Arabidopsis thaliana: one gene and its partners. The protein of the gene in region 1 interacts with the protein of each later gene in a pairwise test. Each region holds a gene or a part of one and is shown in the gene's direction. Other genes may lie near its edges. The genes, in order: ckl10, AT1G29240, AT2G27770 and AT4G18630.

The links.
Region 2: the proteins of ckl10 (region 1) and AT1G29240 interact in a two-hybrid assay, tested with the Arabidopsis thaliana proteins (one large-scale study listed by BioGRID).
Region 3: the proteins of ckl10 (region 1) and AT2G27770 interact in a two-hybrid assay, tested with the Arabidopsis thaliana proteins (one large-scale study listed by BioGRID).
Region 4: the proteins of ckl10 (region 1) and AT4G18630 interact in a two-hybrid assay, tested with the Arabidopsis thaliana proteins (one large-scale study listed by BioGRID).

Annotation. Positions count from the first base shown.
Region 1 is NC_003074.8:8,348,448-8,355,330, forward strand, and holds ckl10 (casein kinase I-like 10), read left to right. Parts: upstream 1-2,355; 5' UTR 2,356-2,599; coding exon 2,600-2,675; intron 2,676-2,784; coding exon 2,785-2,825; intron 2,826-3,036; coding exon 3,037-3,106; intron 3,107-3,194; coding exon 3,195-3,343; intron 3,344-3,438; coding exon 3,439-3,534; intron 3,535-3,621; coding exon 3,622-3,692; intron 3,693-3,821; coding exon 3,822-3,883; intron 3,884-3,995; coding exon 3,996-4,059; intron 4,060-4,151; coding exon 4,152-4,236; intron 4,237-4,332; coding exon 4,333-4,459; intron 4,460-4,549; coding exon 4,550-4,623; intron 4,624-4,732; coding exon 4,733-4,796; intron 4,797-4,892; coding exon 4,893-5,011; intron 5,012-5,113; coding exon 5,114-5,344; 3' UTR 5,345-5,574; downstream 5,575-6,883. Other genes in the region: AT3G23330 (Tetratricopeptide repeat (TPR)-like superfamily protein), read left to right, coding at 1-900; AT3G23350 (ENTH/VHS family protein), read left to right, coding at 5,654-5,763, 5,846-5,968, 6,047-6,214, 6,307-6,754; AT3G23360 (Protein phosphatase 2C family protein), read right to left, coding at 6,810-6,883. UniProt on the Arabidopsis thaliana protein: Casein kinases are operationally defined by their preferential utilization of acidic proteins such as caseins as substrates. It can phosphorylate a large number of proteins.
Region 2 is NC_003070.9:10,215,550-10,222,438, reverse strand, and holds AT1G29240 (transcription initiation factor TFIID subunit, putative (DUF688)), read left to right. Parts: upstream 1-2,496; 5' UTR 2,497-2,816; intron 2,817-3,422; 5' UTR 3,423-3,514; coding exon 3,515-4,471; intron 4,472-4,551; coding exon 4,552-5,289; intron 5,290-5,377; coding exon 5,378-5,416; 3' UTR 5,417-5,660; downstream 5,661-6,889. Other genes in the region: CIPK18 (CBL-interacting protein kinase 18), read right to left, coding at 6,017-6,889.
Region 3 is NC_003071.7:11,831,640-11,836,782, reverse strand, and holds AT2G27770 (DUF868 family protein (DUF868)), read left to right. Parts: upstream 1-2,355; 5' UTR 2,356-2,731; coding exon 2,732-3,694; 3' UTR 3,695-4,240; downstream 4,241-5,143.
Region 4 is NC_003075.7:10,254,462-10,260,090, forward strand, and holds AT4G18630 (hypothetical protein (DUF688)), read left to right. Parts: upstream 1-2,315; 5' UTR 2,316-2,716; coding exon 2,717-4,117; intron 4,118-4,234; coding exon 4,235-4,273; 3' UTR 4,274-4,496; downstream 4,497-5,629. Other genes in the region: PYL13 (PYR1-like 13), read left to right, coding at 1-392.

The DNA of each region.
Region 1 (6,883 bases):
ATGGGGCATGCGTTACATGGTCATGGGCATGAAGCAGTTTCGTTGTTTGAGGAGATGAAACGACAAGGAGTGAAACCGAATCAAGTGGCATTTGTTGCTGTACTAACGGCTTGTAGTCATGTGGGGTTGGTAGATGAGGCATGGGGATATTTCAACAGCATGACTAAGGTTTACGGTTTAAACCAGGAGTTAGAACATTATGCAGCTGTAGCGGATCTTCTAGGCCGTGCAGGGAAGCTGGAAGAAGCATACAATTTCATTTCAAAGATGTGTGTTGAACCAACTGGTAGTGTCTGGTCTACCTTATTGTCTTCTTGCAGCGTTCACAAGAATCTTGAGTTGGCTGAGAAGGTAGCGGAGAAGATATTCACTGTCGATTCTGAAAACATGGGAGCTTATGTTTTGATGTGCAATATGTATGCGTCTAATGGAAGATGGAAAGAAATGGCGAAACTAAGATTGCGTATGAGGAAGAAAGGATTGCGGAAAAAGCCAGCTTGTAGTTGGATCGAAATGAAAAACAAGACTCATGGATTTGTTTCAGGAGATAGATCGCATCCGAGTATGGACAAGATCAACGAGTTTCTTAAAGCTGTAATGGAACAGATGGAGAAAGAAGGGTATGTTGCAGACACAAGCGGCGTGCTTCACGATGTAGACGAAGAGCATAAGAGAGAGCTTTTGTTCGGACACAGTGAGAGATTGGCTGTTGCCTTTGGTATCATCAACACAGAACCTGGCACGACAATTAGAGTCACTAAGAATATAAGGATATGCACGGATTGTCATGTCGCAATCAAGTTTATCTCGAAGATCACGGAAAGAGAGATTATCGTTAGGGATAATAGCAGATTCCACCATTTCAACCGTGGAAACTGTTCTTGTGGAGATTATTGGTAATAATGAAGTGTGAAACTTTTTTGACTTCATCTTTTGTTCAGAGACAGAAACGACGTCGCATAGGGAACATATGTTTCATTACACTTATTGTAGTGTTCAACCAATTTATATATTTTTCTATCTCTATAATTTTCTTATAATTAGGAAAAATTAGAACAAATCATGTGGAAATAGACCTAACAATAAAGTATTGTTTTAAAAGTAAAGTGGAATTTGCATGAGTTTTTTTTTGTATTTATTAAACAAACAATATATGGAATGTTTGGACATAAATATATATGATCTGTTGTGTATACAACAACAACAGACAGAAGCTGACCCATGCATACAAAATTTTCACATTATTATTCATTGCCCATAATAAATCATGGCCATTGGATCCCTTTTTGGCACTATGAACATTCATTTTCTATGTAGTGGAAAATCGACTAGTCGTTATACTATTATAAAATATGTTCACTATATATAAAAACCAACAGAATGGATTTGATTGTAAGTCAGTTTTTTTTTTTAATACCACTAAATTATTGCTATTTTTTTTTATTGCAATGTCAATTGGTGATATAGTTCATATTTTTACCGTAGTGGTAAAAAACCCCGAAATTTAGTGTATACATAAAATAGGTATTATATTTCTTGGATCGTTTATATTTGGACTGTTTTTTTTGTCTTACGATTTCTCGATCAATTGTTTGTCCATGATCCTTTTTTCACTATTCTTGCCAATATTGTTTGCTTTGCTTTTCCTATACTTAACATTTCCAAAGGTGCAACTTGCCATAAATTTAGTCTGCGAAGAAAAGCAAAGGATTAGTTGTGCTAATCATCAAACTCTCTGTTTTAAACATTGTTGGCATTTGAGAAGTCGGTAACACAAAGCTTACTTTGCTTTTAGTTTTCTTTGTCTTGTCTTTTCCTTGAATTTGGTTGTGCTTGGTTCTACGTCGATGGTCATGATTTAGCAATTTTCTAAAGAAAGCAAAAACATTCAAGAAACTTTGGCAGCCATCCATGAATATTAAATTCAGCAAGTCCTAGAAATATATTTTGAATAGAGTAGATATCTTTTTTTTTTTGCTCGACAGAAAAAAAGGGAGAGTGGATATAGAGTGGATTTGGTTTATAAATATATACATAAAAGAAAAAATAGGTAAAAATATAGATTTTTTTTTTTAATGAAATTTGCATCACTATGATAAGAAGCTAAAACATCCAATGATCATAGTGTGAGAGAAAATTAAGAATATAGTGACAATTTTTTTAAGGTTTTTGTTTTTGGGTGAATAATATATAATAGGGTGAGAAAGTAATTTGATATATAAAAAAAATGAGTGGGAAAGTAAATTACTAAAATATTATTTAACAATAATTATTTTTATCTGTATCCGTTTATTTTCCCTTTCCCGTGACTTAAAAAATGTTATTAATTATTATGTGTATAAAGAAGAATGAGATAAATAAATAACATCCGTCAAAACCATCTGTCTCTGTTTTCTCATTCATCTCCTCTACTTGTTTAGTCGGTCATCAAACTATCTCTTCAAGTTTATCCTCAGAAATATACAAACTCCTCAGAAAATTCTTTCGTTTGGTTTGCTTCGTTCTACAATTTTGTATTGATGAGAATGTTATATTGAGTCATTAACCGTTTGATAAATCGTATTTGGCTCTGTAAGTAGTATTTATTGGTATTGAAACGATGGATCATGTAATCGGTGGCAAGTTCAAGTTAGGTAGGAAGATTGGTAGTGGATCATTCGGTGAACTTTATATTGGTATATAAAAAATCAATCAGTTTTTTTTTTTTTTTTTTTTTTTTTGGTTCTTTGTTGGTAATTAGTGTGAATTTTGATGTTGATTCACTTTGGTATGTGTGATTCGAAGGGATTAATGTTCAAACTGGAGAAGAAGTTGCTCTTAAGCTGGTATGTTACATATTCAATTTTCAGTTTTCCACTATTAGTGAATCTTGAAACTATGTTGTCACACTATACTTGTATCTGAGGTCATAAGTTTTAAGTTCTTTAGTTTTCTTTAGACTAGCTTTTGTTGAGTATGAACATCTTATTGATTCTTTTGTTTTTGTTCTCTATAATATAGCTGTTGATCTGTTCTTATACATTTCTTTGTTGGTAGGAACCTGTGAAGACAAAGCATCCTCAGCTCCATTATGAATCAAAAGTATACATGCTTCTTCAAGGAGGGAGTGAGTTTTCACTTTTCATTACTCAGCTCATTTCACTTGATGTTTATGTTTCCATTGGTCTAAGTTCTTTGGGTTTTCTTTTGACTAGCGGGTGTTCCGCATATCAAATGGTTCGGTGTTGAGGGTAACTACAATTGTATGGCTATTGACCTTCTTGGTCCAAGCTTGGAAGACTTGTTCAACTATTGCACTCGGAGTTTTTCTTTGAAAACTGTTCTAATGCTTGCTGATCAGTTAGTAAGTATACATACTCTTTCGAGTTCTTGATATCGGGTTAATGTTCGGTTGCGGGATCATTGCTAATGTTTTAGCTCTTTTGAGTATTACTTTAGATAAACAGAGTTGAGTACATGCACTCTCGAGGATTTCTTCACCGTGATATTAAACCGGATAACTTTTTGATGGGTCTCGGTCGCAAAGCAAACCAAGTAGGCTTTCTAGTTTCGTCTTTAGTATGTCGTATGATTGTTCTTAGCATCGAGTCTGGTGTGACGAGTTTTGGATTTCAACCTCAGGTGTACATTATTGATTATGGGCTTGCTAAAAAGTATAGAGATCTTCAGACACACAAGCATATACCTTACAGGTTAGAATACTTCCTTGTTGGTTATTTTGTTTGTGCTTCATTAGAAACTAATGTAGGCAAGTATTGATGTATTCAGGTCTTATGCTTGGTAATTTACTATATGCACTCTTCATGAAACTTTTTTTATAGGGAAAATAAGAATCTGACTGGAACTGCTAGGTATGCAAGTGTCAACACACACCTTGGCATTGGTGAGAAATGTTTCCATGTCACACATTAGAATAGCTTTCATTCTATATTTGTGCAGTAACCGTTAAGCTACTATTTTCCTTCTTTTGAAACATTTCTTATATCTTCTTGCAGAGCAAAGTAGACGAGATGATCTGGAGTCTCTTGGTTATGTTCTGATGTATTTTATACGAGGAAGGTAGGAAACTATCTTGGTTGTGTATTAATAGTGAAATCTTTAAGAAACATGAGATCCTTAAACTTGAGACGGAATACAACTTCTTGTCTCAGTTTACCATGGCAAGGTCTAAAAGCTGGTACTAAGAAACAGAAATACGAGAAGATAAGTGAAAAGAAGATGCTTACTCCCGTAGAGGTACGTCATATATCTACAATAGTGTTTTTGTATTGCGAAAAGACGATGTTTAGCTTTTCTTAAACTTTTCGATAAATATGATTTTGCTGTTTGCAGGTTCTTTGCAAGTCATATCCATCCGAGTTCACATCATATTTCCATTACTGCCGTTCATTGAGGTTTGAGGATAAACCAGATTATTCATATCTGAAAAGACTTTTCAGGGACCTTTTTATTCGGGAAGGTTAGAAACCTCTACTGTATTCTGTCTGACTGTCTCCTTCACCTCTCTATTAAACCGCTCATGAATTACATCAATTGTTAATGCCTTCAGGTTATCAGTTTGACTATGTGTTTGATTGGACAATCTTGAAATATCCTCAGAGTGGCTCTATTTCAAAACCAAGGGTTAGTGTTTTTTTTTTGCATCAACATATGATGATGAAGAAACTTTTAGAAACCGTAAAATACTCTGAAAATCTCATGTTTGTATTATATTGTGTCTCATTTCTATCAGCCAAATCCTAAACCAGCTCTAGACCCTCCAGGACCATCTGCAGAACGAAATGAAAAGCCTATAGGTATAACATTATTTTACATCCTGCAGATAGTAGACATATCTTACGCTGAAATGGTTGAAGTATAAACTCAGAAGTTGATTTCCTATTTTTGTGTAGTGGGGCAGGATCTACGAGAAAGATTCTCAGGTGCAGTTGAAGCATTCGCTAGACGAAATGTACCGAGTCATGGCATTCGCCCGAAGCACATTTTTTCTGATGATGCTTCCAAAGAAGTGGTTAGTTTTCTGTTTGCTATCTTTCTGTTGTGTAGATGACTTTAAAGTTTTCCGGTTGGTATCAATCATGAGAATCATTTTGATGTTTGTTGCAATGCACAGCAAGTGTCTGAAAAAACCCGAAATGAGATTGCTACAAAGATGGCAGTGATGTCTAGCAGCCAACCTGGCTCATCAGGTGAGCTGAGTGAGAACCGCTCAAGTAAACTTTTTTCAAGCAGTGCCCAAAAGATTCAACCGGTGCAAGAAACTAAGTTATCTGCAAGGCTTGGGCGTGATGACGGCCTGAGAAGCTTCGATATGCTTACTATCGGTTCCGGAAAGCGGAAATGAGTCACTCAAGAAAGCTTGCGGATCGGAGTTTGGAAGAATCTGAAAATGTGTAAACAATGTAAAACTGTCTCCCACTTTATGTGTTTATAGTTCTTCATAGAATTTTATAAAGTGGTATATGTAACTTGTAACACAAGTACTTTGTTTATATTAGTTCAAATTTGGTCAAATGCTTGAAATCTATTAATAGACGTCAAGTGTCTCCTGAAGTGTCTGAATCTAAAAATAAGGGTTACCCATGTTTGGTCTGAAGCTATCATTTAAGTTGAATTGTGGAGACAGAATAGACCATCCAATTTCGAAAAATTGATGATGGGGACACTTTGGTTTGGAGATTTCAAGAAACAAGCCTCTTCGTTTATTCAAGACAAGTACAATGTTGCTAGACTTGTCCTCACCGATGTTACCGAAGCTGAGTTGTGAGTAGACTATTAACTTCATTAATTAGCTAATTGATAATACTCCATTAGTGATGGTTAAATTTAACTCTTTCATTCTTAGGTTAGTAGAAGAAGTAACAAATGGTGATCCTTCTTCACCAGACGCTAAAACGATGACGAAAATAGCCGAGGCATCGTTTGATACCGTGGAGTATTGGAGAATTGTGGATGTTCTTCATAGAAAGTATGAATTAGTTTTGTTTCTCTTGAAGATTATTATTATGATTAAGGGATAGCTTAAGATGATGATTATGAAAAACAGGATTGGGAAAGATGAAAGAGAGATAAAGAATTGGAGAGAAGCGTACAAGGCAATGGTGTTGTTGGAGTTCTTACTAATGCATGGACCTATTCATTTACCTCATGATTTTCTTTATGATTTGGATCATTTTCGATTCCTCTCCACTTTCCAATACGTTGACAATAATGGGTAAACTATTATTCCCAAATCTCCAAAAAAAAATTTGTTTTCATATTTTTCTTGTTATTGCTATCATGCTTCAATTTATGTTCGCATTATAGGTTTGATTGGGGAGCTCAAGTTCAAAAAAAGGCAGATCAAATTCAAACACTTCTATTAGGGAAAGAAGAATTAAGAGAAGCTCGTCTTAAAGCTCTCAAAATCACTTCCCAAATCAATGGCTTTGGTAACTCCACCACATTTTCTCCTTCTCCTAATTCTCTATCTAACTCCTTCTCTTCCTTGAAAACCTCCAATTCAACACCAACCAAAAGAATTGATCTTATATCCGAGTCATATTCGTTAATCGACGACGAAAACAAGCTCTCGGAGAAGGATCAAGCCAGCAAAGAGACGCTAGTCAGCGGAATCTGCACAAAACTCGCCGGATTTAGCCCTTTGAACAAGTTTCAAGGCGGTCGTACTAAGGCGGCAAAATTTCAAACTTTGTCTAACGTTGAGAGAGTTTCAAGTAAATGTTACGATCGTTGCAATTCTATTGGTTACTAAACAAAAACCGGTTCGGTTTTAAATTGTAATTTCGTTCTGTTACAAAACATCCGGTTTAGCCAAACCGAATTACAACGCAAGAAATGCTGCTTTTGCTAATCCTGTTTAAAGCTTCTTTAGCTAAACATT
Region 2 (6,889 bases), on another chromosome or scaffold:
CAACACAATCTATCAACCATAGTGAAACCTTCATTAAACGTAAATGAGATACATGATTAAGCTTAAACTAGGATTTAACCCGTGGTACACCACAGGAAAAATGTTTAATTCATATATATAATAATATTAAATTTTATGGTTTAAATTTAGTATTAAAGTTATATAATTTTATATAATATTGTAAATAAAAAATTTGGTGATGATAAAATAATAAATAAAGATTTAACTCGTGTTATATCAATCCAAATCCGTCCCGTTATATAACTCGTTTTATGATATTTTAATATTTTTTTATAAGGATAAATATTATTAATGTTTTATAAAGTTCATATATATCAATAATAATATACCGTTAATGCTAATTGATCCTCTTAAATAGGAATATTAGTGAGTAGTATATTTTAGTTTAGATTTGGAAAGATTTAAATAATTGTTGTGATATATTTATTTTAGTTTCCTAAATTTTAGTAACAAAATTAGTTTATATTTAGATTTGAAAATAAAATTGTTAAATATTAAATGCCAATGGCATTGGGTTGTAAATAAATCCCAACTTGAAGATTTATTTCATAAAAGTGTTGCAAAAATATATATATAGATACAAAATAAACTAAACCATAATTACTAACCAAACTAAACCATAACTAAACGAAGTATATACACTCTAATACAATCTTTTTATTACCATCACCGTTCAACACCACCTTTCCGTCCGGGTAATGCGAACGTGTTAACATTATTACAACACCATGTAAAAATATAGTTTCATGTTCGGTAAATTGATTTATAAACAACTAACCACAAATGTAGTCCATCCATATAATTTTTGTCGATGTAAGCGTGACTTATCTAATATTCATCATTATCCCGAAAAAATAACAATCACCCAACATTTTGTTCTTTATTTTCGCAAGAATCAAGAGTCAAGACTTACCTCCTGGTCCTCCTCTCATGAAGATGTTATAAGTTAAAACATGTCGTACATAATTTTATCGACGATATTCTATAAGATATAGCGTGTAAAACAAATTACCAACATACATGATTAATTGATTATGTTAGAGGGTTAAGTGAGGAAAAAAGAGAGAAGAAAAAATTGTTACTAAATTTCTAGAAACTAAATTTCATCAACCTAATTTCATCTTGTCTAGTGTTATTTTTTTCCGTCTAAAGATTTCATTCATTAGCTGCGGTAGAGATATACAAAACAGACAAGAACAAGATCTTTTCGGAGACAACATTGATGGGTACATAGAAACCTCCAAAGACTAAGACCCAAATTAAAGGGCAAACAAACATAAGGAGGAAAAGCTCCTAAAAGATAAGCTAATGAGAGAACATGTAAAAGGACTCCATAATAGCAACACAACTCTTCCTCACAAGCCACCGACAAGCATTTCCAAAGAATTTGTAAGTCTAGTGTTGCCTAACTAATTTTATTTTGATTTTTAACAATTAGTAATAAATAAATGAAATCAATAGTTGGTCAAAAATTAAAAAACAATAATTGGCATTTGGCACTGTTAGCATGCAAATACGTTTATGAGGGCAACCCCGCAACGGTGTTGGAAAGCAGCCTGCTGACAAGAGTGTTCGTTAGCCAACCGTTTAATCCCTTTTAATTAGTAAACACACAAAAACAAATTGAATTTACTAATCTCTCTTTTGTATAATGGAATATTCACTGGTTAGGTGAGTTTTTTGTAAAGATGATAATTATGGTTCTGTTTATATGAATTAAATATTTTTATATATCATAAAAGAAAAATTATATACATATTTTGCATTATGTATGTAAGCATACTTTAGTATGTCATACTTATAACATAACTTCAGTGTAAACAAAATCCAAACTTTCAGAAGATATGAAGACAAAGAAAACTCCTGGTATAATAACAGCATAATTATTGATTGAAATAATATGTGAGCTAAGTTGGTATTTGTGTGTATTTATTTATCCATTCTGGAGTTATTATAAAATAAAAGGTTTGAAAATGATAGATTGAGTTGGTTGCGCCAATTTTTTTTGCTTTCCCCTATCAAAATGTTGTCATTCTCTAATCGGCCCACACCTAAAATGATGATATTCCACAAAAATGCAAGTGAAAAGTGAAAAGGTATCTCATAATTGTTTAGTTATTTAACAATCACGCTACCATACTCAGTCGTGGTCAGCTTATATAAACTTTATAAGTAACGCATAGATCTATGGATTCTAGATATGCCACCAAAAAATCAACTGTGTATATTCTTTTGTAATTGTAAACGATCAATCGGTGACGAACGAACAAAACTGTAGTTAAAAGCAGTACAAAATAAATAAATAACGAATAGAGAGCGCAACACCAAAACAAATAATAAGAATATTGCTCTTTGCATCGTTTTTGCTATCAATTTTGTGAGTGGTACAAGATTATACTAATCAGTAATCACGTCCAATATTTGTTTGATTTTACAACCGAATTTGGTTTGGTTCGGTACTTCGGTTAAATGTTGTCAAATACACTATTCATGTTGATCATTGACCAATAGAAGAGAAAATAAATGAGAGAAAGCGTAAATACAAGTAAAGAGGAAGAAGAGTCCAAATGTACCAATCAGCTCGTGACTACTTTCAGCTTACCTTTTTCTTCTCCAAGTCCCATCTTCGTCTCCGTCATCTTCACGGCACATCCTCCAAAAACGCTTAGCTTCTCTCTCTGTTACGTTTACTCAAGTCTTTTTTAGTCTCCTCCTTAACTCTCAAGCCTTTTCCAAGTTTCAAGCGGCTCCAACGGTTCAATTTCGCACTTTCCGATTTGTGGCTTCACTTTCCGGTAACGTACTGATCTCAATCCTTGTAGCTCTAAAACGACTCTCCTAGTTTCGCTTATTTTTTTTCTTGAAATTTCTACTGTAGAATGAATTAAGCATGTCGACGAGGTTATTTTAGTTGACTATCGATTAGAATTTTTCGTGAGCGTTACTTTCTCCGTACATTATCCTCAGTTCTGCATCTAAATCTTGCACTTAGTTCTTCATTTCTTGAGATTTGTTATCATTATTCTCTACTCTACTTAGTTATAACGATTATGACATCGTCACAGTCTTCTATATGTGGGGTTTCTGGTACTCAATTGCGCAAATCCTTGTAATGATTGATGTCACGGGTCTGAAAATTTTGACACCGTCACTAGATTTCATAACTTTTAAGCGGTGTTGGTGTTGCGTTAAATATTATTATTAAAATTGAAGTTTCTAGTAGTAAAAAAGTTCACAGAGAGATCTTTTCTTTTTGTCTGTATCTACCTACTTACTTCAGAATTCAGATAATAATCCTTTATACATAGAGAAAGAGATCATCTACTATATGATTATTATATGGTTTTTATATGGATAATATTCAAGATTACTGAAAAATCTGTTGTTTTGTTTTGTTTCAGATCTGTTCTAGAGAACTTCAATATATATCCATATATGGTTTCATTGGTCTGTGAGCCATATCCTAAGAACTAAACTAGCTAGCTCTCTTACTATGGAGGAGAGGAAACTGAACTTCAGCGTACCTCTTCTTTCAACAAGACGGATGCAGAAGACAGCAGGAGTCTCTGTGCGTAGAAACAAGAGTAATAACTTCACTGATTATGACTCTAAGACAAGTGAATGTCCTTCTGTTCCAGTTCTTGTTCCATATATGATGGGTTTAGATGATGAGGTTACTGAACCTGCCTCTGTTCCTTTCACTTGGGAACAAGCTCCTGGAAGATTAAAGGGCAATGATTTCAAACCCCAAGTTTGTGTTTTGATGAAAGAAGAAGAACAAGTTTTTACACCATGTCTTCCACCGGGTAAAGCCGTTGATGCAAACATGACAAGATTGCAGAGTTCAAAGGGTAAACAAGTTGAAGAATCAGATGATGATGAAGATGATGTGTTTTCTGATGCTCTTGACACTCTCTCTCCAAAGGACTCGTTTTCTTTTAACAATAGCATTAGTGGTGTGAGTGAATATGGTGGCGTTGAGACCAAGAAACCACTGGATGCTCAATCTCGGGATTTCATGATGAGTCGTTTTTTACCAGCTGCCAAAGCTATGACTGTGGAGCAGTCTCATTATGCTTCGAATCGAAAACCATCCACTTTTATGGCTGAACCAACGATACAGATAAGAGAGTTAGTACCGGGGGAGAAGCAGCAAACTCCTAATAGATATGATGTGTCTATAGTCCCATCTTACTATTACCACCAAGACATTGATGATGAAGAAAGCAAGGTGGGTGAGGAAGATGATGAAGTTTCTGAGTACGCCTATCTTTCAAAGAGAGGTTGTGGAATGTTGCCACAATTGTGCTTTAAAGACTCTCTCGGCATGCTGAACACAGTGCCTGGTTTTAAAGCTAAACACAACTCTCCAATAACATCACCAAGTCATGATCAAGTGAAGTCAAGCAAGGTTGCTCAACTCAAATATCGATTCCAATCTGTTAAAAAGGTTCCACCTTTAGACTCCTATTAGTCCCTTATAAATATGATTAGACACTCACTGACTAGTAGCTCTTGTACATTTTCCAGCTAGCTCTTGATTCAGTTTCTAAGCACAAGTTGAGTGGTAAAGTTCATTCACCAGTTCATCCAAGCAATGGGAAGAAGTTCAACTCTGAATCAAACTTGATTTCTGCTGCGAAGAGGTCTTCATCTCCTTACAGACACTCTCGCTGTATGTCACCATTTCGCAGTACAGGTAACGGTTCTCCTTTACACCATGCGGGTTTCCCTGAGACTCGTAGGGAAACCGAGAACCTGAGAGCTAACAGGTTGAGCAATCATACTAGAAACATAAGCAGGACGTCTCAGGAGTTACTCTACCCAAAAAGCAATGGTTCAATCTTGGAGAAGACAGTTTATGTCGACACCGAGAATGATCACATGACCAATGATCAGCATAACTCAAATCTCATGATCTTTCCAGAGGAAGCAGATATGACAGGAAGGAAACCAGATGCCAATCCTGAACTTGAAGCTTTTGAAAATATAAGTATTAGAAGTAGTGAAATGGTGAAGGGAAATGAGTTAGTAGAGATCAGTAGTGGTTTTGATCGGTCTCCTCTTGCACCACCTTCTCCCAAAAGGCCTTCTGAATCTTGGCTTTGTCATAATCTGCCTTCAGTAACTTCTCAGATCACTTCACGTAGATATCATCCATTCAACCCCCAAAAGCAGGATCTTACAGAAAACTACAGAAATGGTACCAAGTGGGAAACTATTGTTAAGACTTCCTACATGCACAGAGATCATATCCGATATTCCGAAGTAAGCATCTCTCATTTTCACATATACAGTGCTTTAAGCAAGAATCAGCTAGCCATCTTTGGTATTTACTTACTTCAATTTTGTGCAGGAACTGGTTGCTCATACATCTCATCAATCCAAAACTTGAGACCTTGATGCTTCTCGAGTTCTGACCTCCCCGAGATCATCAGGTTTATACCTACGTTTCAGCTCAATCATTAGTTATTTGGTAGTCATTTCATCCACTGGTGAAAAGAAAATATGTGCTTGTTTTATGAACCTCATTTACATGTGCAGCTTCAATATTAACTCTAATTAATGAGGCAAATACTAGTAAGACTTAGGATGAAGAAAACAGTGAACTAAAGGAAGGCAGAGTAAGAATTTCCATTAAGCTCGTCTCTTGTTTTACATATATATACAAACTATATATGAGCAATCCACCAAAAAACTGGCTCTGTGACCAGAAAAAATCGACTAAATTGCCTGATCTCTCACCCTCTTTTGCTTATTTTCTTCCCTCATCTTCCTATCACTCACATTACAATACCACTTATATACATAAACACACACTGGGAGATTTCGGAGATCACAACAAATCGTGAAGATCTCCGAAATCTCTCAGTTTTACACCAACATCAACATTAACATAGAACAAGAATAACGAATAAATAATCAATAGTAACAAAAGAATGTAACACAATCTTGTTTCTTGTATATTCTTGTTATCAGCCTTCCTTGTTTTATACTATTCAGTATCAGATGGCAAATACAATGCTTCTTCTACTACAACTTCTTCATGGATTAGTTTCTCCAGCTCTGGTCTGAGTTCCTTGTTGCAAAACTCTTCATACTCTTCTCTGTCTCCTCCTTTCTTCTTCACCTCCACCACCACTAGAGATGGAGTCAGCTCAAATATCTCAGCCGCAATTGTCAACGGTCCTTTTGCTCCTTCTCTACAACCTTCTAATCTCAAACTCCATTCTTTCTTCCTCACAGTAAAGCTCACGATTTTCGCAATCTCTTCCAGCTTCGATATGATCTTTGAAACAGGAGCACCTGACACAAACCTCGTCCCTTCTCCTCCTTCTTCCTCAAACAAACCAGACAGATCAAACCCTGAAGAGAAAGATATAATGTCAAACGCGTTTAAGCTCGAGGGTCTTGGCATTGAACCTATTCCCATCCGTTTTACATCGAACTCTGCATCGCTCTCTGAAACTGTCGAAGAGCGGCCTGATGATGATGCCTCTTCCTCCTCATCTTCATCTTCCCTACACAGTTTATCATCTTCGATGTAGAATTTAACATGTTTGAATCCTTTCTTGAACCATCTGTTCTTCATGATCTCGGGTATTGTAATCCGAGTATCCGGATTCGTATCAAGAAGCCGAGTCAATAACCGAACAAGATCCGATGAAAACCAACGAGGACACCTAAATTCCCCTTTGTAAATCTTCTTGTACATAACCATTATGTTCTTGTCGTAGAACGGAATGTGACCAGCCATCAACACGAATAAGATCACTCCACATGACCAAACATCGGCTTTCGCTGCATCGTACCCTTTTCTAGTCAAAACCTCGGGTGCAATATACGCTGGAGTCCCGCAAAACGTGTG
Region 3 (5,143 bases), on another chromosome or scaffold:
ATGATTTCTACTGAATGCTTATAAGTTATAATCATTTTGCAAGTTGATACGGTAGTATTTCGATACCAGTGTAACAGTACGGTATTAAAAGAGAAAAAGAAAAAAGAATCTGCAAATATTTTGATTGAACGAATGAATGAAATGCAAAATGTTTCACTTTACATTTTCGCTGTTTCGAGTGGTTTTAACTCTTCTTTTTTATAGTGGATATAATAGAACATATTTTGCGATCTTGGCCATTCCAAAAATCAGGCTATACATGAACATTTATATAAACATATTAGACATCTTTTATGAGTTCTTATAATGGAATTTATGCTCGACAAGAGACATCTAGTGATAATATAATTTTTCTAGGTTGGCTGGATTTTAAATATGTCCAAAGTCCACACCCAAATGTCACGACAAACAAAGCAACCGTGTTCCTTTCTATGTTTATTGGCTTAGTTTGTTTCATTATAGCTATGATAGTATTTATTTATTTTTAAAATTCTGATTATAAAATAGTACTAACGTGTTAATACGAGTTGGATTTTGCTGAGTGTTCGCATAATAGGTTAAGATTAAGAATTTCATCAAAACCGGATCGGATGCAGAACCCCATATATCACTACCAAAAAAAGAATTTTATATCATTTATTTTGAATATTTGTATTACTTATGTCATATAATATATTATCGATGCAATATATAGTTGAATATCATTTCATGGCGGGCGTCAATAGAAGAGATGGAGCTCACTTCGATAAGATAATGTATCTCAAGAATTTAAGAAGGAAAATAGTTTGGTTTGCCTCAAGTTTATTTTCTTAAATTTGTTGTCTTTAAATAATCTCTCGTTCCTTCAATTTTTAAAGCAGACGGTCTCGTTCTTTTGAAATTTTGTTCCCTCTGGATTTGGTAACCCAACTAAAAAGTTTATTCTAAAATTTTATTATTAATGTATAGGTGATAAAAGAGAAGTAATAAATTGGGCTAATTGTTTTGGCTAAAACACTTCTATATCATTTCAAGAGTTTGAATAATCAAAATTTGGAGAAAATCTAGGCCAACACAGGCAAATAAACGAAGTTCCAACATTTGGCGGTTAAGAGAATTTGTACAACCGGCTCACAATTCCTCTCTTAGATCCGATCCGATTTGTTCCGAGACCATTATATCCGGGTTTACTTCTTTTGTTTGTTAACTTCTATGAAGCTTTATTGATTTGCTTTTTTAGTCTATATGGGCACAACATGTCAGTTTATTATCCCAATGAACTCTATCGTATGAGAAGGAGACTCAATCTCAGGTGAGGTGGTATCAATTTATGAACACCAGTAGATCACAATCACAGTCACTTCTCTAGTATCTTGCTTTTAAAATGCCATTTCTACTACCAAAAAAAAAAAAACATGAACCGTATATATATATATATATAATTTCACCTTGGATCCAACCAATTCAAACCTACTTCCAAATAGATTGGATATCTGTTTTATTGGAGTGAATTGGATTAGATTTAAGATATCCCAGTTAAGCAGGTTCATGAAATAATTTAAAAGACAAAAAAAAACATAAACTTGTTCTGTAAAATTTTCTAAGAGTGTAACTCTAATTTCTTGTTATATATTTTTATATTCTTGACATATTCATATATGTAATCCTTCTGATCCAAAATTTTATTAGTAGATTCTGTATACAAACTCCTAATATATCCGATTCTTCAAAACGGATTAAGGATATTTTTAAATAAATATAAGTAAAAACATTTTATTTTTATTTTTGCAACAAGTCTATTATTGGTAGTAGTTTTAGCTGCCTGAAACTTTTTTTTTTTTTTCGTCTATAAATTGTAACTCTCGACTTGACTCCGATGTATGGAACTACAAAAGAAAAAAGAAAAACGTATTCGTAATTACTACATTACGAACCTTCCTTTAATTATATGACGGTTTCTTAAAATATGGATGGTTCAAAACAAATTCTCACTAATTATAACGATTATATTATGTCTATATTAACTGAGAGTTGCTTTGACCATCATTATATTAGAAGAATTCCTCTATCTGTAAATTCAGACATTTTTTCAATCTATATATACACTAATATTTTTCCTAAATTAGTATATGTTTATCATTTTGATCTATATAAAAATCATAAACCTTAAATTCTCTTATAGAAACTTTACAAATGTATCATAAACAATTTTAAGTTAATCAAAAAGTCATATTTGAGTAACACCAAATTTCAATTCCCTTTAGAAATTTATTAATAAAAAATAAAATATTAAAGTACAAAAACTTTTAAAATTAGTTAGCATACAACTATACAATAAAAAAAAATAAAAAAAATATCAACATCAAATTTGTGTCCCCTAGACAATGAAAGCTCAAAACTACTTAAATTCGGCTCCTTTCACCTCCACTCTCTTCTTAGCACACACACAGAGACCTTAATCCATTTCTCTCTCTCCCTCTCTCTCATTAAGAAAAAAAAAGAGAATCAGAGAAGAAATAAAAAGAAAGCAACTCAAATCTTTAACCTACAAAAACCCAGATTTGTTAACTCTCTCATTCTTCTTCTTCTTCTCAACAACATTTGATCTTTTTGATTCTCAAAGTATTCTCAAAGTAAAAGAGAAACACACTTTGTTGTCTCAACAAGCAAGCAAACAAAACCCATCTTGGGAAAATCTCATTTCTTTCCCAAGAAAATCTCATTTTTTCTGTTACAATTTTTTCCTAAGAAAATGAGAGATTTGGTGTCATGTTTCAGTGAGAACTCAATAAACGTGACACATCCCTTATCAATATCATCTTCATCATCATCATGTTCAAAATACAGTACCAACAATGTTTGTATCTCACCATCTCTCATACCATCAATACAAACCTCCATTACAAGCATCTACAGAATCACTTTATCGAAACATCTCATCATCAAAGTCACATGGTGCAATCCACACAACAACAATGGCTTAAGCATCTCTGTTGCATCCGCAGATCAAAACCCTTCAACAACTCTCAAACTCAACACTTCTTCTCGTTTCTTCCGTAAGAAGAAAGGTAACAAATCGGTTGATTCCGATCTCGGTAAAATCGAGGTTTTTTGGGATCTTTCTTCAGCTAAATATGATTCTAACTTGTGTGGTCCTGAACCTATCAATGGCTTCTACGTTATCGTCCTCGTTGATGGTCAAATGGGTCTTCTTCTTGGAGATTCATCTGAAGAAACTCTCCGTAAAAAAGGTTTCTCCGGCGATATCGGTTTCGATTTCTCTCTTGTTTCTCGACAAGAACATTTCACAGGGAACAATACTTTTTACTCGACTAAAGTAAGATTCGTTGAGACAGGAGATTCACATGAAATCGTCATCAGATGTAATAAAGAAACAGAGGGTCTAAAACAGAGCAATCATTACCCTGTTCTCTCTGTTTGTATTGATAAGAAGACGGTGATAAAAGTGAAGAGGCTTCAATGGAATTTCAGAGGGAATCAAACGATTTTCTTGGATGGATTGCTTGTGGATCTGATGTGGGATGTTCATGATTGGTTCTTTAGTAATCAAGGAGCTTGTGGAAGAGCTGTGTTCATGTTTAGGACAAGGAATGGTTTAGACAGCAGCAGGCTTTGGTTAGAAGAGAAGATTGTTAAGAAAGATCAACAAGACAAGCTTGACTTCTCTCTCTTCATTTACGCCTGTAAGACTTGAAAAACATTATAAAAAAAAAACTCAATTTTTTTTTGAGATTTACAAGAAAAAGGTTATTGATTGATTGATTCTGTTTTTAATATTTGAGATATTTTTATGGGGTTTTTTTTTTTTTTGAACTTACAATTTCTTCTTGGGAGGAGTATAGATTTTATTTTCTTTCTTACATTCTTTTTTTTTTTTGGTTGGAGTTGTGATTTAATATTGAGAGATTCCAAAAGATGTGAATTTCTTCATAGGAGTTGTTGTTTTATTTTTATTTTAAATTTGGTTTTCTTACAAATTCAAGAACATTGCCATATCTTAAATTGAAGTCATTTGTTGGGAAAATATTTGTCTCAATGACTCTCTTTCTTGGCAACATTATGATGTTTATTACTATGTAGGCTCATCTACAGATATACGTTTTTTTCTTTCATAAATGTTGAAGTAATTGATGATTATGGTTAAGGAAGAAGAATTGAAGAGTGTGAAATAAGATGAGAATATATTGGGGCATATGTGCACGCCTATAAAGATATGCATGGAGCCTCTTTAAAGTACAAAAGTTAAAAGGTCTAGAATCTACTCATGCTAATTTGTTTTTCCTATTAATCTAACAAAATTTGTGAATGAAGTAAAAATGTAAAATGCTATTTTTTCTTTTGGTTTTAGAATATCAGTATGTGAAAATTTAAGGCATAGTTTATTATGTTTTCAAGTTCCAACTCTAGTTAGGTTATTTTGGTTAGGAATGTATTAGGTGATTAACATCTCGATCATTCAAGGAACAATTTCTTCATGGTTTAGGTGACTACATTGTAAAGTACAAAGTTTTTTCTTTACATTTTTTGTTAAAATTGTTGTAAGAAAATATGTCTAGTAATGGCTAATTTTTAGTTAAGTTGGTTCGGTTAGGCGAGGTTTAGGTGGTGACATCCCATTCAAGCAAATATTTTTTCTAGATTGGTTGATTTGGAGAGTTTTAGGTGATGTAAGTAGTTCAAGCTTTAGTTTTAGAATTTGATTATAGTCAGTCCGAATTTATGTTTTCATATAAGTTTGAGTTTTGATAAATTGGAGTTAACTATTTAATACTATAGAAATTTAGGAGTATTAAAATGATCATTGCATGTAAATATCATACGATTAAGATTAACCATGCCTCTGTATTTAAAGGATATAAGTATTACTATAATACAATAGGATACAAAATAAAGATTCGGTCAACATAACATTACAATATAATTAAAATACTGCTTCGAGTCATTTAAAACTAATCCAGAATTTGAAAGGCTGACAAATTTACCATTGTTTACACATAATAGAAATTTGACTGTTAAACCCATATATAATGAACAAAGCTTTAAGAGAGAGAGATATCGATAGCACGTTTTCACACAACACGATATATAAATTAAAAAACCATGTATGATACAAAATGTAATATGTGCACTATGGGGTGCCTGG
Region 4 (5,629 bases), on another chromosome or scaffold:
AAGCTTATCAACGTTTCGTCAAAAGTTGCACCATGCGCTCTGGCGGCGGCGGCGGCAAAGGAGGAGAAGGAAAAGGCTCCGTCCGGGACGTGACGTTAGTCTCCGGCTTCCCGGCGGATTTCAGCACGGAGAGGCTCGAAGAGCTAGATGATGAGTCTCACGTGATGGTGGTAAGTATTATTGGCGGTAACCATAGGCTTGTTAATTACAAATCGAAAACGAAGGTGGTCGCGTCGCCGGAGGATATGGCAAAGAAGACGGTGGTGGTGGAGAGTTACGTGGTGGATGTGCCGGAAGGAACTAGCGAGGAAGATACAATATTTTTTGTTGATAACATTATTCGGTATAACCTTACTTCACTTGCTAAGCTCACAAAGAAAATGATGAAGTAAGCTCTATATGTTTAAGCTAATCAATAAACTAATCGTAGTTATAGTTATGAATCATTGGATTAAGAAAAAAATGGATCGTTATGGATTAGTTTTTAATCTTTAAGGCTTTTAGCATTGCAATAATAATAATAAAAATATAAAGAATCGGAATAATATGCTCGTGTGGTTTCTTTCTTCCGTGATTGTAATTGTCTCTTTTCTCCTACTCTTTTATGAAGAGAAATAAAATGAAGGTTATTTCTACATTTTTACAATTAGGAATCTTTGAAATAATGGTTTTAAATTGTTGACTCAGTTGGTTTAGTTACTAAATATACTGATTTGTATTGCTGACAACAAAAGTTAGACTAAATACATGTTTGAAAATTTTCTTGATAATTCTTTGTCCATTTTGCATAATGCATAGTAAAAGGGCATCATGTAAGATTCTTAATTTGAAGTTCTAAACTAATTAATATCAATACTTTAGTATAATATTATTAGGTTGGAAGGTATTTTACACTCAGAACAGAAAGTATGATGACCTAAACTGTAGATCTCGTGAATTTCATGGCCGTTTGACTCAAATCTGTTCGGAGGTTATGAATTTATGATGTCCGTTGAATCATTGAGCTGTTGAACTAATGGAGTGGTTTACTCTATAATACTTTGGTGTGTTTTTATCAAAAACCGACCGAATCAACAGATATAATTTATTTTGAACAAGTTGGTGAAAGACAAAATAGAGGTTCTATTGATCTAAATATAACGGTGAAGATTGGAAATTTTCATGTTTTTTCGGGAATTGGGCCTTTATGAATGGACTATTGGGCCTTGCTATTTCAAAGCTTGGGTGTTGGTGGGGCTTGCTATTTCAAAGCTTGGGTGTTGGTGGGGGAGTGTGAGTGGTTGCCACGTGAAGGATACTTATTCCCTTGTCCTTTTCATTCCCGCAATTTTAGGGATTTTGGTCAACGAAACTTATTTCACTTTCTTTCAGTAAATCGATTTTTTTCTCAGGTGTATATTTCTCAAGTTATTGTCTACTTTACAAATTTTCATGGGTTTCTCCTCCTCTTTTTGTATTAGATAGATTAGAATAAATGTTCGCTTGACCAGTCGTTAATTTATTTATAGACACTTTTGAAGAATTGGTTATTAATAAATGTAGTACCTACCAAAACATAAGTAACGACAAACAGATAGTTAAGTTATGATTAAAAGAAATTTCTTCAAATACCATTTCTATTAGTTTTTCTCTCATTTTTCATACTATTATTCTTCATTCTTTTTTTGTTTGTTTAGCAATTAAAAATCAAAGTTTTGAATATTGGAGACGGAAAGAGGTGGCCGAGTAATGTTTTTTCCTCTTAAAACGATTACTATACTACCTAGAAAACAATTACATAATCTAAAAGTAATATACTATACACTATGTAATCTAGAAGTGAAATGTTAATTTATAGTCAATATCTAAGGCCGGTTGTTTTAGCAAATTATAAGTCAATTTTTTGGAATGTTATGAGTAATTCAAAGTAATTAAATTATATATCGTAATCGAGCCCCATCATCCGTCGAGGCGAATGCCGCGACTTTTCTTTCAAAGACTTTAAACAAAGTAAACAATTAGTGGTGCATTCGGAGAAAAGAAAATTAGTGCTTACATTATAAACGACGTTGCGTGGCTCGGAAAAGGACACAACAACATGTGTTACATTACCAAAGTCGGTAATTTGGCTCACATAAATGTCTTTTCTCACTTTTTCTTTTATTTTGTTTGTTTCATTACTTTTAGAGAAAAAAAAAATACAGTTGAAACTTGAACCACAACTACTCCTCACGTTTTGCCTTGAGGAATATTTCACCTTATTAGGGCCAAATTTGTGTCTCTGATCTTCTTGTACTCCGATGTCTAACGACATCGTTATGTATTCACAATACATAAAATTTCCAACAAAAAGAAAAGTAGTTGATCTCAATATCTCATCATTAATTTTCAATCAAATCTTTGTGGGGGATGGGATTTATTCTAAGCTCAATTATAACTTATATAAGAAATGAAAACAACCAAACACAAGGTTAAAGAGAAAGTCTCTTTATTGACAATTCTTTAGTCGCACACTTATAATAGATTCATCTGCTATTTTCCTAAACTCCAGCCTTCAATCTCGGTCCTAGACATTCGGCAATCATTTACACACATATATTAATACATTAACTCTATTCTTATTTTTCCGATTTTCTTACTTTAATAAGAACAACTACAATCTCAAACACATAGCAAGAGAAGAGATACACAAAACAAAGACTCTGTTTGTTATTCTTCCTTCTTTTTGTTTTCAAGAATGGAGGGAAAGAAATTGAATTTGTATGCTCCATTACCATCAATCAGGCGAATTCCGTCTATGATAGAGCGTTCAAGTGAGTTAGAGAATAAGAAGACGACGATTACAAGACCAGAGCTTCGATCATGTCCGAGCACAAAACAAGAAACGCCGGTTTTTGTATTACCAGACCAGAGCTTTGATCATCTCACAGAACCAGCTTCAATTCCTTTTATGTGGGAACAAATCCCTGGAAAACCAAAAGATGACATGGCTACATTGATTCAAGAGTCAGGTCTACTAGAAACCGATGATGAAGAAGAAGACGAAGTAGATGAAGATTTGGATACGGTTTCTTCAAATGTAAGCTTCTCTGTTAACTGCAGCACAAGTGGAGTTAGCGAAATCGAGAAGACCGGTGAGAGATCTGATTGTGATGAGAAGTCTAGAGAAAGTCTTGATCTAATGATGTCAAGATTCTTACCAGCTGCTAAAGCAATGGCTCTTCAGACACATCAGAAACATCAATCTTCTTATAACTCTTCAGAGCAGAAGCTAATCACTCAGAACAGAGAAGCTCTCGTAGCTCGTCAAAGAAGTCAACTGGTTGCAGAACATGAACATTTCGCCATTGTTCAGAGTCTTTACGATGACTTAAACATTGATGATGATACTGAAGACGACGAGAATGATGATGATGGTGATGATTATGGTCATGTTGATCACAAGATCTACCCAGCTGAAGTTACCAAGAAAGCTTGCGGATTCTTGCCAAGGCTTTGTGCGAAGAACTCATTCAAGTTTCTAAACCCGGTTCCTTTGGATTCAGTATCAAACCGGTCTATGAAACATTCGGGTGATCAAACCAGTTTACCAAACTGGTCAACTAGGCGTCTTTCCGGTTTTATCTCTCCGTACCGAACCTCTTGTTCGGATTCCGGTTTTCTCGGAACTCCCGAGAAACCAGAGAGCTTCAAAAGGCTAAACAGAGGAATAAGCAAGTCTCAAGAACTGTATCCAACAAGAACAAGAAGAGAGGTTCTTCCTAATTACTCAAATTCTGGAGAGATCAAAATGTTTAGAAACTCGATCTCTACTCCTTCGAGGATCCAACGGACCACAATTCACGATTCTAGGTTTCTTGTTGAGGAAGTAAACAGAAGAAGGAACAACAAGTCAGGGAATCTTCAACAAACATCGTCGGAATATACACCTGCGCTTTCTCCTCCTCCGTTACCGGAAACTCCGTCTCGTTCCTGGCTCGGACGAACCCTCCTACCGCCGGTGAACCCGAGACCGTACGGCGTCGTTTTAGGTCAAGTTGGTATCAAGAAACTGAATCAAGAAGTTCTTGAATCTACGAAATGGGAAACGATCGTTAAAACATCGTATGTTCACAACGATCACGCTCGTTATTCTCAGGTATTAATTACTCTTTGAACATTTTTGGTTCTAACAAATCGAATTCTTTTAAAAATACGTTGTATTATTGAACATTTTAATTTATATATCTTCTCTTTGTGACATTCTTCTATGCAGGAGCTGATTGTTTATCCATCTCGCCAGCAAAATACATAAAACCAGACAAATTACTTCTTGTTTTTACATTACAATTAAGTTAATAAATAGTTTTAAGGTTTGCCTCTTATTTTTCTTGTAGGCAACACAAATGTACCCGAGATTGATTCTTTATGTTTCAATATTTTTGTGTGTGTTATAATTGTGGCGTTTGTTTTCCGACCGCATTATTTGTAATTGGAAGACCTCATGTTATTGATGTTAGATACAATATGGATTCCGTGCCTAACCAGTTCTGACTTAGCCGGTTTAGACCGGCACAATTATACAACATAACCAGGCTGATTCATAGTGTCGATTCGATAAACCGATGAAGTTTCTTAAATAATCATATATGATCATATCATCATAATTGAAATTAGAGCTATCTTTGTCTAAGACACACATATAATATAAGATTTTGATTGACTTCTTTTTCTTATAATATCAGCTGCAATTGACATTTGATCATGACGGAATAAAATATTTTAAGAAAGTAATGGGAGACATGTTACTAGCGATGATGCTCTTTTTTTTTTGCTTTTGTCAAATTACGGGTGATGACTGATGATGTTCATGCACATTAATTCAAAACCCCATGTCATGTGTGGTAGTGCTCATTATACACAAACGATATGAAAACCGTTGGATTACCGATATCCAACGGTCACAAAGATTCACTATTTTATTACGCACTAGTAAAGTATAAGAGGCAGGCACGTCCCCCATGCCCCATGAGTCTTGTTGTTGAATTCGATTTTAAAATAACAAAATTAGAGAGTGAGAATAGATTTGGATACTAAAATTAAAAATACATAAATCGTTCATTTTGTGTTTTAAAATACTTATGGTGACGTGGCTTAGTGTAGTATAGTTAAGCACGTATAATTATTAAAAAAAAAAAATAGAAACCAAAAGTAAACTACAAGAAAATTAGGGGTTGTGAAATTGGAAAATTTTCGAAATAATTAAAAAAAGAAAACAAATTGTGCAAAGAGAGAGAAGAGGGAAGACAAAGGGAAGAGGGAGGAGAGAGAAGGCACCACCCTTTGGCCCTGGAGAGACCAAAGATGGTCGAAGAGAGACAACTCTGAGATCATCATCATCATCCTGCAAAAACTAACGAGAAATCGATTTTCAAAAATATAATCAAGATCGATTTCTAGGGATATTTTGATTTCTAAATCCTCTCACCAACATTCTCTTGCTTGCCCTACCCGCTTGCTGGTTTCATCCAGAAACATAATAATACATTGTTTGCATTATAAGGAATTCCTTTATACAGTAAGTTTTATCATTACCTATCATTTGTTTGGTTCCTTTACGTAATTTGCAATGTTCCTCATTTTAAAGAGAACAACATAATGTTTTTTTTAG